Linked DNA regions of Saccharomyces cerevisiae S288C. The gene in region 3 interacts genetically with the main gene of each other region. Each region holds a gene or a part of one and is shown on either strand. Other genes may lie near its edges.

What was found. Genes that interact genetically often act in the same process or in processes that back each other up.
Region 1: mutations in YAP7 (region 3) and LCB5 together harm fitness more than expected from each alone (negative genetic interaction), as found in Saccharomyces cerevisiae (2 studies listed by BioGRID).
Region 2: of YAP7 (region 3) and FZF1, changing one suppresses a phenotype caused by changing the other (phenotypic suppression), as found in Saccharomyces cerevisiae (one study listed by BioGRID).

What each region holds. Positions count from the first base shown.
Region 1 is NC_001144.5:663,153-668,407, forward strand, and holds LCB5 (sphinganine kinase LCB5), read left to right. Parts: upstream 1-2,691; coding exon 2,692-4,755; downstream 4,756-5,255. Other genes in the region: chaperone ATPase HSP60, read right to left, coding at 132-1,850; VPS63 (Vps63p), read right to left, coding at 5,085-5,255; Rab family GTPase YPT6, read right to left, coding at 5,092-5,255. UniProt on the Saccharomyces cerevisiae protein: Catalyzes the phosphorylation of the sphingoid long chain bases dihydrosphingosine (DHS or sphinganine) and phytosphingosine (PHS) to form dihydrosphingosine 1-phosphate (DHS-1P) and phytosphingosine 1-phosphate (PHS-1P) respectively.
Region 2 is NC_001139.9:19,633-23,703, forward strand, and holds FZF1 (Fzf1p), read left to right. Parts: upstream 1-2,671; coding exon 2,672-3,571; downstream 3,572-4,071. Other genes in the region: high-affinity Zn(2+) transporter ZRT1, read left to right, coding at 1,346-2,476. UniProt on the Saccharomyces cerevisiae protein: May function as a transcription factor.
Region 3 is NC_001147.6:267,859-275,869, reverse strand, and holds YAP7 (Yap7p), read left to right. Parts: upstream 1-4,499; coding exon 4,500-5,237; downstream 5,238-8,011. Other genes in the region: LAG2 (Lag2p), read right to left, coding at 1-913; MIM1 (Mim1p), read left to right, coding at 1,517-1,858; ribosome-binding protein MDM38, read left to right, coding at 2,146-3,867; YOL029C (uncharacterized protein), read left to right, coding at 5,450-6,055; GAS5 (1,3-beta-glucanosyltransferase), read right to left, coding at 6,229-7,683. UniProt on the Saccharomyces cerevisiae protein: Probable transcription activator linked to cell cycle that induces transcription activation of genes in the environmental stress response and metabolism control pathways, like the closely related YAP5.

The DNA of each region.
Region 1 (5,255 bases), on a different chromosome or scaffold from region 3:
TAGTCATATATAGTTCTTTATACTTGAAAAAGTGATTCCTAAAAATCTCAACTTTTTTCACATTGTATTTACAAGATAATAAAATTATTACCATATTTAAACGAAAGATAAATTTTGAATTAAGGCGGTCGTTACATCATACCTGGCATTCCTGGCATACCACCTGGCATACCACCAGCGCCAGCAGCTGCTGGTGGTTCTGGGGCATCAACAATAGCAACTTCGGTAGTAGCTAATAGTGAGGCAACACCAGAAGCATCAACTAAACCGGATCTAACCACTTTAAATGGATCGATGATACCAGTGGCTAACATGTCGGTGTATTCTGACTTAGAGGCATCGTAACCCTTGGCAAAATCATCACCATATTCATCAATCAATTTGCCGATGATAACTGAACCTTCTTCACCAGCGTTTTCAATGATCTGCTTGGCTGGTCTTGTAATGGCCTTTCTTATGATATCGACACCCAATTTTTGATCGAAATTGTCGACAACAACTTCATCCAAAACTCTAGATGCCTTCACTAAGGCAGTACCACCACCTGGCAAGATACCTTCCTCAACTGCAGCTCTGGTAGCGTTCAAAGCATCATCGTAACGGTCCTTCTTTTCACCAACTTCAACTTCAGATGCACCACCGACCCTGATGACAGCAACACCCCCGGACAATTTGGCCAAACGCTCTTGCAGTTTCTCCTTCTCATATGAATTTGTGGTGGTAATGTCGATGGAGCCTTTGATTTGTTCAATTCTCTCTTGAATAGCTTCCTTTGGACCACTACCGTTCAGGATAACGGTGTCTTCCTTAGTAACGGTAATAGAGTCACAAGAACCCAAGTTTTCTATGGTACATTGTTCTGGTTTCAAATCCAACTCCTCAGTAAAAACAGTACCGCCCGTCAAGACTGCAATATCACCAATTGTATTCTTTCTATTATCACCGAAACCAGGCGCCTTCACAGCACAAACCTTAACTTGACCCCTCAACTTGTTCAAAATACAAGCCGCAAGAGCTTCACCGTCAACATCTTCAGCAATGATCAACAAAGGTCTTCTGCTTTGATTGGAAATTTCCAAAGCTGGCAAGATATCTTGAATGGAAGAAATTTTCTTTTCACTCAACAATAGCAATGGCTTTTCAAATTCCACCTTGCTCGACTTTGGATCAGTGATGAAGTATGGAGAAATAAAACCACGATCAAACCTCATACCTTCAGTAACCTCAAGTTCATCTTCCAATGTTCTACCTTCTCTGATAGTGATGACACCTTCTTTTCCAACCTTTTCCATAGCTGAAGCTAGTAACTTACCAACATGAGAGTCCCCATTGGCAGAAATGGTTGCTACTTGAGCAATTTCCTCAGATGTGGTAATTTCTTTCTTGTTGGCGCTCAAAAATTCAATCACTTTTTCAACTGCAACTTGAGAACCCCTTCTCAAATCCATAGGGTTACAACCAGCGGCGACATTTTTGACGGATTCTGTGAAGATGGCTCTACCTAAGACAGTAGCAGAAGTAGTACCGTCACCAGCAGCCTCATTGGTTTTGGAGGCAACTTCTTGTAGTAACTTGGCACCCATATTTTCAAACTTGTCCTTCAACACAATAGATTTGGCAACTGTAACACCATCCTTAGTAATCTTTGGAGGACCGAAAGGCTGTTCGATTAAAACGTTTCTACCCTTTGGACCCAAAGTAGCAGCAACCGCTTCAGCTAAAGTTTCGACACCCTTAAGAAGGGAGGCTCTTCCTTCTACACCGAATTTCAATTCTTTATGAGAGGAGTAAGCACGACGCAATAAAGGCCTTAAAGTAGCGCGACTACGAACAACGGATGATCTCAACATTTTGAAAACTTTTTTGCTTATGATGTTTTCTCGTGGGAATTTTCTTATATTATTCAAGGAAGTGCATGAAGACGCAACCACGACCTTACATAATGAATGTAAAACTTAGTCTCCTTCAATATATATACATGAATGTCCGTCTGGATTCTGCTCCGGGCAAAACGAAGCAAAATTAAAGTCACCCTCCCCATTTGGTTTTCTGGAAAATTCCACGAGGTCCGTATATGATGACATATACAGATGGGCGGCTATAAAGTAAGTTTCCAGAGGTAATACCAGGCAATAAACAGCTTCAATTGCTCGTAACACCATTGTATACCTACAAAAACAGTGGAATAGGGATGAGACATAACTGGCTGGAATTTCAACTGTACTTCTTTGCACAACTAGTCTTGGCGTTCTACTTGATCATTGCGCGAATGGATGCACTCGCAATAATTCCCAATAGTATAACAGGAGGAACATTTGGATGCATTAGGTATATTATTCATCTTCTTTATCATCAAAATTTTCTCTTCCTTTATGTTACTATGTTGCTTTCTTTTAATCTATGTTTTTTTCCCTTTCAGTTGCCACCGCTTTTCTGCAAGATTCATAGTTAGATTTGCAAATCAAGGTGTTTTCGGGCCTTGTTAAAGCCTTCGCAGGCGAAGAAGAAAGGGAACGTAAGCTGCGTGAGCCGAATCTATTTATACAAAAACAATCAAAAAAGTATAACTACAGCATAAACTGTTGTATATACGTGTTGCAAAATAGGAAAGAAAAGAAGAGTAAAAGGACTCTTGATATTATCTCGAAAAAACCACAAATAGTGTAAGATTTAAACAGTAAGCCAAAAGAGATGACTTTGAAACCTTCAAAGAGACGTAAGGGCAGGTCTCGCCATTCCAGGAAGAAGCAAATAACGTCAGCGATACTGACTGAGGAAGGAATAATGATCAAGGCAAAACCATCAAGTCCTTACACATACGCAAATAGAATGGCAGATAAACGAAGTCGCAGCAGCATTGACAACATCAGTAGAACTAGCTTTCAAAGCAACATCAGTAGAACTAGCTTTCAAAGCAACAGTGATAACAACAGTATATTTGAAACGGCTTCACTAATTAGCTGTGTTACCTGTTTAAGCGATACTGATACAATAGACAGATCGGAAACATCGACAACGGATACAAGTAAAGATGATCTTTCTGCTAATCCAAAACTTCATTATCCTTCGGTGAATGGTCAATTGCCAGCAAACACCGTTATCCCCTATGGACGAATTCTGGATGCCAGATACATTGAAAAGGAACCTCTGCATTATTATGATGCCAATTCATCACCCAGTTCACCTTTAAGCAGCTCAATGAGTAACATTAGTGAAAAGTGTGATCTTGATGAATTAGAGTCTTCCCAAAAAAAAGAAAGGAAGGGCAACTCGCTATCGCGAGGAAGTAACAGTAGTAGTAGCCTCCTGACTTCCAGATCTCCTTTTACGAAACTAGTAGAGGTTATATTTGCTAGGCCAAGACGGCATGACGTTGTACCCAAAAGGGTTTCATTGTATATTGACTATAAACCCCATTCATCTTCTCACTTAAAAGAAGAAGATGACTTGGTTGAGGAGATTTTAAAGAGAAGCTACAAAAACACTAGAAGGAACAAATCCATATTTGTGATCATTAATCCGTTTGGTGGTAAAGGTAAGGCGAAAAAACTGTTTATGACAAAGGCAAAGCCGTTACTATTAGCAAGTCGGTGTTCCATAGAAGTGGTTTATACAAAATACCCTGGTCATGCTATAGAGATCGCGCGGGAAATGGATATTGACAAATATGACACTATTGCTTGCGCTTCGGGAGATGGCATTCCTCATGAGGTGATCAATGGGTTATACCAAAGGCCTGATCATGTCAAAGCATTCAACAATATCGCCATTACAGAAATTCCATGCGGATCAGGTAACGCAATGAGCGTATCCTGCCACTGGACAAACAATCCTTCGTACTCAACTTTATGCTTAATTAAATCGATAGAGACTAGAATTGATTTGATGTGTTGTTCGCAGCCTTCTTATGCAAGAGAGCACCCAAAGTTATCATTTTTAAGTCAAACATATGGTCTCATTGCAGAAACTGACATAAACACTGAATTTATTAGATGGATGGGACCTGCAAGGTTTGAATTGGGTGTAGCCTTCAATATCATACAAAAAAAAAAATATCCTTGTGAGATATATGTAAAGTATGCTGCCAAATCAAAAAACGAGTTAAAAAATCATTACCTGGAACACAAAAATAAAGGGTCGTTAGAATTCCAGCATATTACTATGAACAAAGATAACGAGGATTGTGATAATTACAATTACGAAAATGAATACGAAACCGAAAACGAAGATGAAGATGAAGATGCGGATGCGGATGACGAAGACTCCCACTTGATATCTCGTGATCTGGCAGATTCTAGTGCTGATCAAATTAAAGAGGAAGATTTCAAAATAAAATATCCATTAGATGAAGGTATCCCTAGTGACTGGGAAAGATTGGATCCTAATATTTCGAACAACCTAGGTATCTTCTATACGGGTAAAATGCCATATGTGGCTGCTGACACTAAATTCTTTCCGGCAGCGCTTCCTTCAGATGGTACAATGGATATGGTTATCACCGATGCAAGAACCTCGTTGACGAGGATGGCACCAATCCTGCTGGGACTAGATAAGGGTTCCCATGTTTTACAACCGGAAGTCTTACACTCTAAAATTTTGGCATACAAGATAATACCAAAGCTAGGGAACGGCTTGTTCTCTGTCGATGGCGAGAAATTTCCTCTAGAGCCCCTTCAAGTCGAAATTATGCCACGCTTATGCAAGACGTTACTGAGAAATGGCCGTTATGTGGACACAGATTTCGATTCTATGTGACACTTTACTTAATCTTTTCCTTCGTACTGAACAATTAATCAAAAACTAGAATATGTCATTTCTATTTCTTCTATATTTTTTTTACGTTGTTGTTGTTTTTGTTGTTGTTTGATAACTTTATACACTCCATACTTCTTTATAAAAAGTTTTAATACCATTCTTTAATACAACCATGTTTAGTGAGTACTAGCTCCTACACATCAGATCGTCAAGTACATTATGATTATGATTATTATTAATATTATCAGTACAATTATTATGTGCTGGTAGTTCACTAAAAAATATGACGCACACAAAGAGTTCTCCTTATGCCCTATAGAACTGAAATATTAGGTGCTAACACTGACAAGCGCTTTGTTCCTGCTCCTCTGCTGTAGAAATATCAATGACTCCCGGTTTATTTTGGTTTGCACTATTTGCATTTTCGCTATCCAAAGGAGTTGACTCGCTGTTTTGAAATTCAGGCAGCGATTTGGCAATCTTTTTGAATAAAGCTTTGA
Region 2 (4,071 bases), on a different chromosome or scaffold from region 3:
ATTTCCTCTCCCTGCCATCCTCTTTATTTTTGTTCTGTATCACAGCAGTTAATTCAGTTTCCATTCAAAGTATGCCACGGATAACTTGATGCTTCAAGAAGAAAAATTATTTGGCCTAAAACTTGCTGTTTCTTCACAATTTTTCTAAATGCTCTCCGATTCCCGGATTGCAGATGTTTCACTGCTCCACATTATATCCTTTGTGTCCACCTTGATAATCGATACTTTAAAGATTATTTTGTGGGAGGAGAGCCTTAGAAAGAATACGCTTGTTTTAAGAAGGAAAACAAGCGGCACCAATCTTCAATTGGTATTTTAAAATCTATTAGACGTCAAATCCCGGTTAGACTTGAGATAGATGTACCTGGAGAGAAAATCTATAATAAAAAAAAAAATACTTTCAGGTCAGATATTTCTTTTTTTGTCCCTAATAAAAAGAAATGGTATTCTGCCAAACACCAAAGTGCCAAATAAGCATTATTTTACATAGTACGAAATGGAAATTACGTCAATTATCGACATTATGACATAAAATTGGATTTAACAAGATCTCTGAATCTGATATGCTTCTTTCATTAGGGTGGAAATAACAGCATTTGAGAGAAGCAATTGCCAAGCTTCTATGAAAATTTTCTAGAAGGCAAGAGTATTTCAGACTTTCCTAATATGAAAGGACAAATTGACACTAATGTCTGATTATGGCCAATTCCTGCGGTAAATTACACGGCGATTACGGCGACATGAGCTCACATTCATCACTCTATGGGACAAATGTTTCCAAACTGGGCGCAACAAACACCTGATGTGACTCCTACCCTTTGGACAATGCAGATCCACGCTACGGCAAATTAGTCAAATGCACTAGAACATGGCGCAAGTACTTATTGTGACCTTTGGGGTACCGTTACCGTCAGTTTTCTTCAGCTAAGGCGCGCGCGCCAGATAACTAAAAAAAAATATAGTTGCTGCTTAAAAAACAATACACCCGTACTCTCTTGCCTGTAAAAACCTCGAAGGACCAAAGATACCCTCAAGGTTCTCATCTGTGCGGTATTCTTCAAATTACAATGACATTTCCCAAAATTATCAGATGTGCTCAGGTATCTTCTCTCCAATGAGATGAGACAGATGAACATATTTGACCTTGAAGGTCATGGAAAGTAGGTTGAGAGCAAATGTGTAGAACGAAATTAAGAAAAAAAGAAATTACGCACGGCATTAGCTCGATGACTTAGTTATAAATAGAGGCCTGGTATCGGCTGTCATGATCTCATCTCTTCCCTATTTACAAAAAAACTGCAAGTATAGACAATAAAACAACAGCACAAATATCAAAAAAGGAATTATGAGCAACGTTACTACGCCGTGGTGGAAACAATGGGACCCTTCTGAAGTTACACTTGCCGATAAAACCCCTGATGATGTGTGGAAGACCTGTGTTTTGCAAGGTGTTTACTTTGGTGGAAACGAGTACAATGGTAACTTAGGTGCCAGAATATCTTCCGTCTTTGTTATTCTTTTCGTGAGTACTTTTTTCACCATGTTCCCATTAATCTCAACAAAAGTGAAAAGATTGAGAATTCCTCTATATGTTTACCTTTTCGCAAAGTATTTTGGTTCCGGTGTTATTGTTGCAACCGCATTTATCCACTTAATGGACCCTGCTTATGGTGCGATTGGTGGTACCACTTGTGTAGGACAAACCGGTAACTGGGGTCTTTATTCATGGTGTCCTGCCATTATGCTAACGAGTTTGACCTTCACTTTCCTTACTGATCTATTCAGTAGCGTCTGGGTTGAAAGAAAGTATGGTCTTTCCCATGACCATACCCACGATGAAATTAAAGACACTGTTGTGAGAAACACTGCAGCTGTTTCAAGTGAGAATGACAATGAGAATGGTACTGCAAATGGATCTCATGACACCAAGAACGGAGTAGAGTATTATGAAGATTCAGACGCTACATCCATGGATGTTGTTCAATCATTTCAAGCACAATTTTATGCCTTTTTAATTTTAGAATTCGGTGTGATTTTCCACTCCGTTATGATCGGTCTAAACCTGGGAAGTGTTGGTGATGAGTTCTCCTCCCTATACCCTGTCTTAGTGTTCCATCAATCATTTGAAGGTTTAGGTATTGGTGCAAGATTGTCAGCCATTGAATTCCCTAGATCAAAGAGATGGTGGCCATGGGCCCTATGTGTTGCGTATGGGTTAACCACACCAATCTGTGTGGCCATCGGTTTGGGTGTTCGTACCAGATACGTCAGCGGTTCTTACACTGCGCTTGTTATCTCTGGTGTTTTGGATGCCATTTCTGCTGGTATCTTATTGTACACTGGTTTGGTTGAACTACTAGCAAGAGACTTTATATTCAATCCTCAAAGAACAAAGGATCTAAGAGAATTGTCCTTCAACGTTATATGCACTCTTTTCGGTGCTGGTATCATGGCTTTGATCGGTAAGTGGGCTTAAACCAAAGCGAAATTCTGCATGTTCCATATAGATTCTATTTCATATTTTATAGTTATTTATTCTTTAGTAATAGCAAAAAAACAGTAATAATTTTTCTTTAACAGTCTCGGACAATAAATACGCTAAAGAAGATGAAAATGACAACTTTTACGCTGGTGTGCACAAGTGGTACCAGAATACGTGGCCACCAAAACAATGACGGATATAGGGAGAACCAAGTCTAGAAATTACAAATGTTCTTTTGACGGTTGTGAGAAAGTCTACAACAGACCTAGTTTGCTTCAGCAACACCAAAATTCGCATACCAATCAAAAGCCGTATCATTGTGATGAGCCGGGATGTGGCAAAAAATTTATAAGACCGTGCCATCTACGAGTTCACAAATGGACTCATTCACAAATCAAGCCCAAAGCGTGCACATTATGTCAAAAAAGATTTGTCACAAATCAGCAATTAAGAAGGCATTTAAATAGTCATGAAAGAAAAAGCAAGCTTGCATCAAGAATTGACCGTAAACACGAAGGAGTGAATGCGAATGTGAAAGCAGAACTCAATGGCAAGGAGGGAGGTTTTGACCCAAAATTACCTTCCGGCTCTCCAATGTGTGGTGAAGAATTCTCGCAAGGTCATTTGCCTGGATATGATGACATGCAAGTGCTACAATGCCCATACAAATCATGTCAAAAAGTTACCAGCTTCAATGACGATCTAATAAATCATATGTTGCAACATCATATAGCAAGTAAGCTTGTTGTACCATCTGGAGATCCATCTCTGAAGGAATCGCTTCCAACCTCTGAGAAATCCAGCAGCACCGACACTACATCCATTCCACAACTTTCATTTAGCACTACTGGGACAAGCAGTAGTGAAAGCGTTGATAGCACTACGGCACAAACCCCAACTGATCCAGAGAGTTACTGGTCGGATAACCGGTGCAAACATAGTGATTGTCAAGAGCTTAGTCCATTCGCATCTGTATTTGATCTCATTGACCACTATGACCACACGCACGCCTTCATTCCTGAGACGCTGGTAAAGTACAGCTACATTCATTTATATAAGCCTAGCGTCTGGGATTTATTCGAATACTGAACGCCATAGAAGAGCAATTTCCGTCCTCTACTCATGTGATTCGAACTATGAAACAAAGAAAAGGCAAGAGTAAATAGCGTGATACCTATTACGTATTACGTATACATCCTATTATTCTTGAAAAAAAGTGCGGGGCTCCAGAGCTCCACATTGGTGACCCCAGAGTATACTGCTCTTTCTAATGCCTTTTCCATCATGTTACTACGAGTTTTCTGAACCTCCTCGCACATTGGTACCTAGAAATGGCTATCATGCCGGACGGCACCGGGCAATAAACCGGACGGCACAAAAAAATCGAAGAAAAGAGATTTCTTTTTCTCGCGGGCAGTTTTTCCGGTCGATCGACATTCGTACGGTACTTTCTCTGTTTCAGGGACATCATGTTGTAAAAGAAAAAGACAGTTTAGGTAATCGTTCTTTTCTTTCTGAAAAATTTTCCACGACGACGACGACGACCACGAAACACCTTTGATTGCGAGATCCACGAAATTACCTCCTGC
Region 3 (8,011 bases):
TACGAATAGAAAAATATGGATGGAAGTTATGAACTATTTCGAGAACATCTTCGACGTTACATTCTTCTCCCATTTGCGGGGGGAATAGAACCGGTAATAGCCGGTTAGTAAATAATTTATCGACTATGGGGCCAAATTTGTACCATATTCGAGAAACTGCTGCTAAAGTATTGTACTTCATTTTGGGGCATAAATTTTCCAGGTCCACCGGATGAGTTAATTGCGTAGAAGTCAAAAGTAATTTTTCTGTGATCCTATCAATGCTTTCATTTGTATTCGTAGCAGAATAGTCCTGCGCAATTGTAAAAACGTCATTCAAAATATCAAAGGGCAGTGTGACCATTACTGAAGGACTTGCCGCGTCTGAAAAGAAGCTAAATTTTAGCAATAGATTAAGGGATTCTATGTAAATTAGCATATTGCTTTCAGAAAGTGAATGTGAAAGCTGCGCAGCATCCACATCACACATATGCCTTTTCATTTCAACAATAAATTTGGAGATAAACTCTAATGAACTGTTTACTGGTTGGTGGTAATCTAAATGAGGGGAGTTTTCAATTTTTTGTAACACATTTCTTAGTGTCTCAATCAGAACAAAAGAACGATTTGCATGTATCATGCTTTGGTTTAATAAAGGGTCGCATATCAAGCTTATTACCCATCCCAACTGAGCAGCTGCAGGGTCGCTGATCATAGAAAGAACTAAATCGGGGAGCACTTGAAACGATACTAGGTTGAGAATTTCCATGTCTTGTTCTTCGACCAATACCGGGAGCAGCAATTCGTTAACAAGAGGAGCCAGCTCATCCTCTATGTCGTTAATTTTAAAGTTTTGCCTTAAAAGCATATATTTAAGGTCATTGTCCTTAGTGGAACGATATTGCTCAATCAGTTTACTAATGTGCAAGCTCATTACTAGTTGCGGTAGAACGTGATGTTGATATAGCTGAGTGCAATGTAAACGATTTTGCTACCACTTGTGTAATGTAGAACAAGCTAACCTTAGCTATGTGTAAAAATTTTGTAGAGATGATTCAATAAATGTCACGAAAGGATTGTAGAAGGATAAGAAGCAAGAATTCACAAAAAAGAAATGCGTCACAGACAGGATTCGAACCTGCGCAGGTAAAACCCAATGCCTAATTGCTTTTCTGAGGAAATAGCAGGGCATCGCCTTAACCACTCGGCCACTGGGACACGATTACTTACAATGCACAGCAAGAGCACCCCAACAGTACTTTAAAAACTCTCCTCCAAATATGTCTGCAACGTGTACTATTTATTATAACGAAGATAAATAGTAATACCAATGGCCCATAAAAGCGTATTATTCCACTACCATCGGCCTCCCCTACCACTGAACAAGAGGAATGCGTTACGAGATGTAATCACTTATAACGAAGTGGTATATTCCGCGCCATAAGAAACAGCCATACACTTTACTTGAACAATAGAACATCACTGTAATATTAGAAACATCACCCCCCTTCTTACGAAACTGCCACAAGACAGAAATATGACAGAGGTTGTGGGATTCTGGGAGAGCGTGTCAGATGACGAATCAGAAGACAAAGACTGTATGGAGGTGCAGAACACAGTGAGTGCCGACGAGAGCCCACTTGTGCAGAGCCTTGTATCCTTTGTAGGCTCGTGCTCCATCAACCTACTTTTGCCCTTCCTCAACGGCATGATGCTCGGCTTCGGCGAGCTATTTGCTCACGAGCTCTGCTGGAGATTCAATTGGTTTAACCATAGAAACAAGGGGTATAAGGTGTACCCAGAGTCGCGCAAAATAGCAGCATTGAAAGAGATTTCAAGCCCTGGCACCCGTGGGAGGGTTGCGTCCAAGTTCCTTTAAACGATCACCAAAGCATTAGCAACCTACATAAATAAATACACACACACATACGGTAGATTATACGTAACCACATAACTGGCAATAGTTTCACAAGCCATAAAGCTAGCCACGGTATTACCCTCAAACGACCCCGTCTTGGGCGATAATCCCGCGGTGAAAAATTATTCGTTGAATCATCTCCAAATAAATGGATCAGTCATTGCCACGGTGATGAATATGAACAGCGCAGTGCATTTCAGGCAGCGCATAATATACGCTATCTCTATCACTACAGATAATATACTAAGATGTTGAATTTCGCATCAAGAGCGTCATGTGTGACAAGACGTCAAGCAAGCTTGTATTTTGTTAAAAATCAAGGCCCTAGATTAATAGCTTCCACTATTCCCTCGTGTCATTGGCCTTTGAGAGCGCAAGGAGTACAGCCCAACTATCCTTTATCTTTGAGATTTTATTCTACTGATAAGTCGAAAAGTGTTACGAAGCCCGTAGCTCCAACATCCACCGATGCTCCTGCCAAGCCCAAGGAGACGCTTATGGTCAAAGTGAAGCACGCCTTGAAACATTATGCTAATGGGACGAAACTTTTGGGTTACGAAATCAAAGTTTCTACTAAGCTTTTGATTAAATTTGCTCAGGGTTACGAGTTGTCTAGAAGAGAGAGGAACCAATTGAGGAGGACAATGGGCGATGTGTTTAGGTTGATCCCTTTTTCAGCGTTCCTTATTATTCCATTCGCCGAACTATTTTTGCCTTTCGCTTTGAAACTCTTCCCCAACTTACTACCCTCCACTTACGAATCCGGCAAGGATAAGCAAGCCAAGAGAAATAAGCTCATCGAGATCAGAAAAAAGACATCCGAATTCTTGCATGAGACTTTGGAAGAATCCAATTTGATCACTTACAACACCATTGAAAATGCAGAGAAGAAGCAAAAATTTTTGAATTTTTTCCGGAAGCTTTATTCTGCCAAGGAAGGTAAGATTATGACTTTCCAACACGATGAAATAAGCGCCATTGCGCAAATGTTCAAAAACGATAGCGTTTTGGATAACTTGTCAAGACCACAATTGGCAGCAATGTCGAAGTTTATGTCACTAAGGCCATTTGGTAACGATAACATGCTTCGTTACCAAATTCGTTCCAAACTAAAGGATATAATGAACGACGATAAAACTATTGACTACGAAGGCGTTGAAAGTTTATCGCAAGAAGAGCTGTATCAAGCTTGTGTGTCTCGTGGTATGAAAGCGTACGGTGTATCCAAGGAGGACTTGGTCGATAATCTAAAAGTTTGGCTAGAATTGAGACTGAGACAAAAAATCCCATCCGTCTTGATGGTTTTGAGTTCCACGTTCACGTTTGGAGGACTTCCAAAGGAGAACTATTCAAAGGCATTCTCGCCACTAGCTGAAAAAAAAGAAACAAAAAGCAAATATGACGACCTTTTGGATCTGTACTACGACGGTATATTACAAGTGCTAAGTTCCATTCCAGATCCCGTTTACAACGTCGCAAAACTAGATGTATCTGAATCGAAATCATCCGCTGCTGAAACTGAAGCTGAAAAGCAAGTTGCTGAAAAGAAGATAAAGACGGAAGAAAAACCCGAGGAAACTGCTATACCGAAGGAAGAAGCCACCGCAAAAGAGTCTGTTATAGCTACCACCGCTTCTGCGGTTACTCCTAAACTAGTCGTAGTTAATGAAAAGGCAGAAACAGCGAAGACAGAGGAAATATCTCAGGAAAAAGAGAACGCAGAGCCTACCGACTCTGCGGAAGCCACGGAAGCTGAAGAAAAGAAGACATCCGACGATAACGAGTTCAAATTGAACGTTTTGAAGGAGCAAGAAGAACTAATAAAGAAGGAGGAAGAGGAAGCTAAGCAAAGAGCTTCGAGAGAGCATGTGCCAGATGATATCAACCTAGATGAAGAGGAAGAAGCAAAATCTGTACCTCCCATTCCGGCCGATCAAGCTGCGAAGACTTTTGTCATTAAGAAAGATTGATATTAGATCAAAGCCTAAGAAAAAAACTAAAAAAAACTAAAAAAAAAAAGTCAATCGGTTCTCTTTTCTCTGACAACAATGGCAAAAGATCAAAGAGAAGCGTACGTCACGGCAAAACCAGCGACCCTTCAAAACTAAATTATTATGCATGTATATAATAGACACCCTATCTAAACTACCGCCTTATTTTTTTTTTTATACAGGAGCAAAGTGTCTTTTTTGTGATGGCCACGAGGGTCCTTTCACTCATGACTCCTTAATCAGCATCTTATGAGCTGGATTTTCATATATCGGCGATTTTTTTCATCGGTAATGCACGCAGTAAAGCTGCTCGCTCGAGAAAAATTAGTAATATATGGAAGAAGAAGCATAAGCATAAAAGAGAAAATCCGCTGCCCCACCGTAGAAAGCAAACAAGGCTATTGGTTATTCCTCTTTTCACCTGTACTTCAATCTGTAGCACATCATCATAAGAGGCTTGAAAGTTGCTCAAGAACAGTTTCAACGGTTTTTTCTTTTGAAATTTGAAAATTGCTCTTCGTTTGTTGAGCCGTTATCAAGGAAGTAAATCATCAATTAAAGAATATAGAAAGGCACAAAATTTTGTCATTTACGCACACTTTCAATGGATCATGAGACAACGAAGGTCTGTAGTAGCAGTTAGCGTAAAGCCCAAAGGCTTCAAATTGGGGCATAAACAGGGTTCCATGTCTACGACGTCTCCACCTCCATCCTCACCAGATGGAAATGTGAGTACATCAGGACCGTCAGCTATTAAGTTATCCAAGAATTGGGAGTTACCACAGCGCCTAAAACCGGGCCGCAAACCGAAATCCAAGCGCGGGGATGCATCAGCTAATAATGATGGATCGTCCAAGATAAAGAAGGTTCAAACTTCCAACCAGAAAGACCAAATGACCACAAAAGATCATGAGAACGAAGGCGCAAAAGGTCATGAGGGGAAATCTGATGATGAAGGCAACGGAAGTGGTGATGAAAACGGTGTCGATAGCGTGGAAAAGCGAAGGAGGCAAAATAGAGATGCGCAAAGAGCATATAGGGAACGCAGAACAACAAGAATCCAGGTTCTGGAAGAGAAGGTTGAGATGCTACACAATTTGGTCGATGATTGGCAAAGGAAATATAAACTGCTGGAATCTGAGTTTTCCGATACAAAGGAAAACTTGCAAAAATCAATAGCATTAAACAACGAATTGCAAAAAGCCTTGCCTTTGATTGTTAATACTCCATTTCAACAGCAGCCAGAAAACCCGCCAGACAATCCTATTTCGATATTAGAAATGGTAGAAAACTTTAAACCAATCGGCGCTGTCAGTTTAAAAAAAGGAAAGCTGAAGGCCCATTGTTAACATCTCATGTGCCCGCGGTATTAACAGACCAGTCTTTGTCTGAGATTGATATAGCCAACGATTATCAATATCTGAGCGGCAGACAGTTTAGTTCAACGAATTCATCGCTTGATGGCCATATTAATTCACCTCTGTCTTCATGCAGCAGCAGTATCAATGCATGTGCAGGCAGTGGCAACAAAAAAATAAAATGTTGTAGGAATAAAGATGCCATGAAACCAGTAACATGTTGCAACCAAAAGAATAACATAATGCCATCCTTAGTCCCCGTTTGCTGTTCAGAAAAGAAAATAGAATCCGATGCTAAGAAATCAATATCGAAATGCTGTGGAGACAAAGAAATCTACGATAGCGAGAATAGACCGATCACTAAAGAGGATGGGTCATGGATACCTGGAAGCTGCAAGCAATGTAGATCAGACCCCCATAGTAGGAATTTTTGTCAATCACTTTCGAATAAATGTAGTTCAAGCTCTTTCTCTTCCAACAGTGCGTTGTCACCGGATCTAAATGAACAACAAACTGACGTAAATTACAATTCAATCAAGCTACCCGAAATATGTTCCTGCAAGAATGCACAAATGAATGCGGCTTCCGATGCAAAGAGGTATCTGCCGATCAGTTACACATATCAAAAAATCCGTCAACATATGCAAAAAAATAAAAGTATCCAAGAACAACTAAATCCTGAGGATTCAACTTCGATCTCATCAGCGTTAGAGAACATTGCATCTGGATTGCACGTTCGTGGACAGAAAGTAGAATTGCAAAGCATCAAGGATGCATTACATAAGATGGACAAAAACGTCTTGGAATGATGTATTTAGAAAGAAAAGAAAAGTGGAAGCATAAATAGTGCATATAGATATAGGTATATATATGAATTTTTTAATAATAATATTAATGATGTTTTTTTATCTTAAGAACATTAAAAGTAAGCGGCGCTAACGGAATAATTAGAAACAATGTGGTAAAGAACGGGGGTGAAAACTCATAAAACCAAGTTATAAAGTTCTGCCAAAGCACGGAATATCAAAGGAATCTCAATAATTCCGGCAGCACCCTTTGATTTCGAGGACGATTGGCTGGACGAAGTAGCAGATGCGGCAGATTTTAGCAAGCTCGTTTCGCTAGCAGAAGGGGAGGAGGAAGATGCCTTTGAAGTCGAGGATGATGATTCAGAAGATGAAGAAGCGGAAGATGAAGATGAAGAGGAAGAAGAGGATGAAGAGGAGGTGTCGTCGTCTTCTTCGTCGTCATCGTCCTTAGCATCACAACTTTGTTGGGTGGCGATTCCGGTTCCCATAGGAGAACCTGCTCCAGATGTGAAGTAAGCAGAAGCAGCACTTGGCATAGCAGGCAAAGTGTTATTAGCTTCCCAGACACCCTTTTCATAATCAGGACATGTAGAATAGTTGTTGGAAGTACTGTAACCACCATTGCCTTCTGGGTTGGATACTTTGCTGTATTCATTTTTCAAGTTTTCAAAATCTGTCAATTTAGTGACCTTGTCACCATCAATTTGAACGAGCCCGTAATTGTTAGTTTCATTGGAATATTCGTAGACTAGCCCACCGGAGAATACAGAAGACATTTGAGTGGAATAGATAGCTTCAATTTCTGTGAATGGACGAGAGCTCTTGACTTGGTTACAACCAAATTCACTTAAGAAGACAGGAACGGAGTAATCTTGATATAGCTTCATCTTGGTGGAATAACCCGATACCACAAATGAAGATTCACCACACCAAGAATAGTCATTAACACCAAACATGTCGATTCTAGCGTCAGCTTCATCACCACAGTTAAAGTATTCAGCAGCCAATTGTCTGTTAGCGACGATATCAGCAGCCGAGTAACCTACCGGAATTTGTCTGTATTTTCTAGCCTTGATGTATTTCTTCATGTCCCTGACCACTGCCTTGACATAAGTAGCAGTGTTGGTAGTATTAACACTATTGATGACCTCGTTACCAGCGAAAAAACCTAGAACATTGTCGTAATCAGCAAAGGTATCAATGGTGGCAAAGACATTTTGTAAGTAGTCAGCGTTATAGGAGCAGGCTGGATCGTAACGAGAAATAGCACTCGTGGGGGTATTGACATCCAGGATCAAGTATATACCGTTCTCCTGCAATAGTTTCATACAATGGGAATGATCTTGCGAGTTATCCACAGTATAAACTCTGACAGTATTTATCCCTAGATCTTTCAGAACGGGGACGTCTCTGTCACAGACAGATGCGTCTGCTAAGGGATCAGTCAAGTTAGAAGAACCACCAGGCTGGTAATCAACACCACGGATATAAAACCTTTCACCTGATTCCGAATTAAAAAATGCATTGCCTTTAATTTCAATGGATGGTGTGGAACTGTTACTGCTGCTAGCAGCCTGAGCCAAACCAGCACTTAAAACGAAGGCACTTGTAAGAGAACGTAGTAACATAGCTATTTAGAGCTGTGTGTGTAGCGAGTGATATATAATATGTTTGTTACAGCCCACTGTTTACTTTTATATACGAAATGCAACACTGTCAACAAATCAGTTCAGGGACCTTCCTATTTATAGTATAAGCAAAATAAAAGTGAAAAATTTCCTGCGGAGTTTTTTTTCTCGAGAAATTGTGAACAAAAGAAAGCAAAGACACAGAAGATGATAAGAGAGAGAAACAACGAAGAAAGAACAACAATGTTGGGGTTCACCCGAGAGATATTGACATACTGACCTTAGAAAAGGCATTACTGAGGCTACTGACTAAAGCGCGTTACATAAA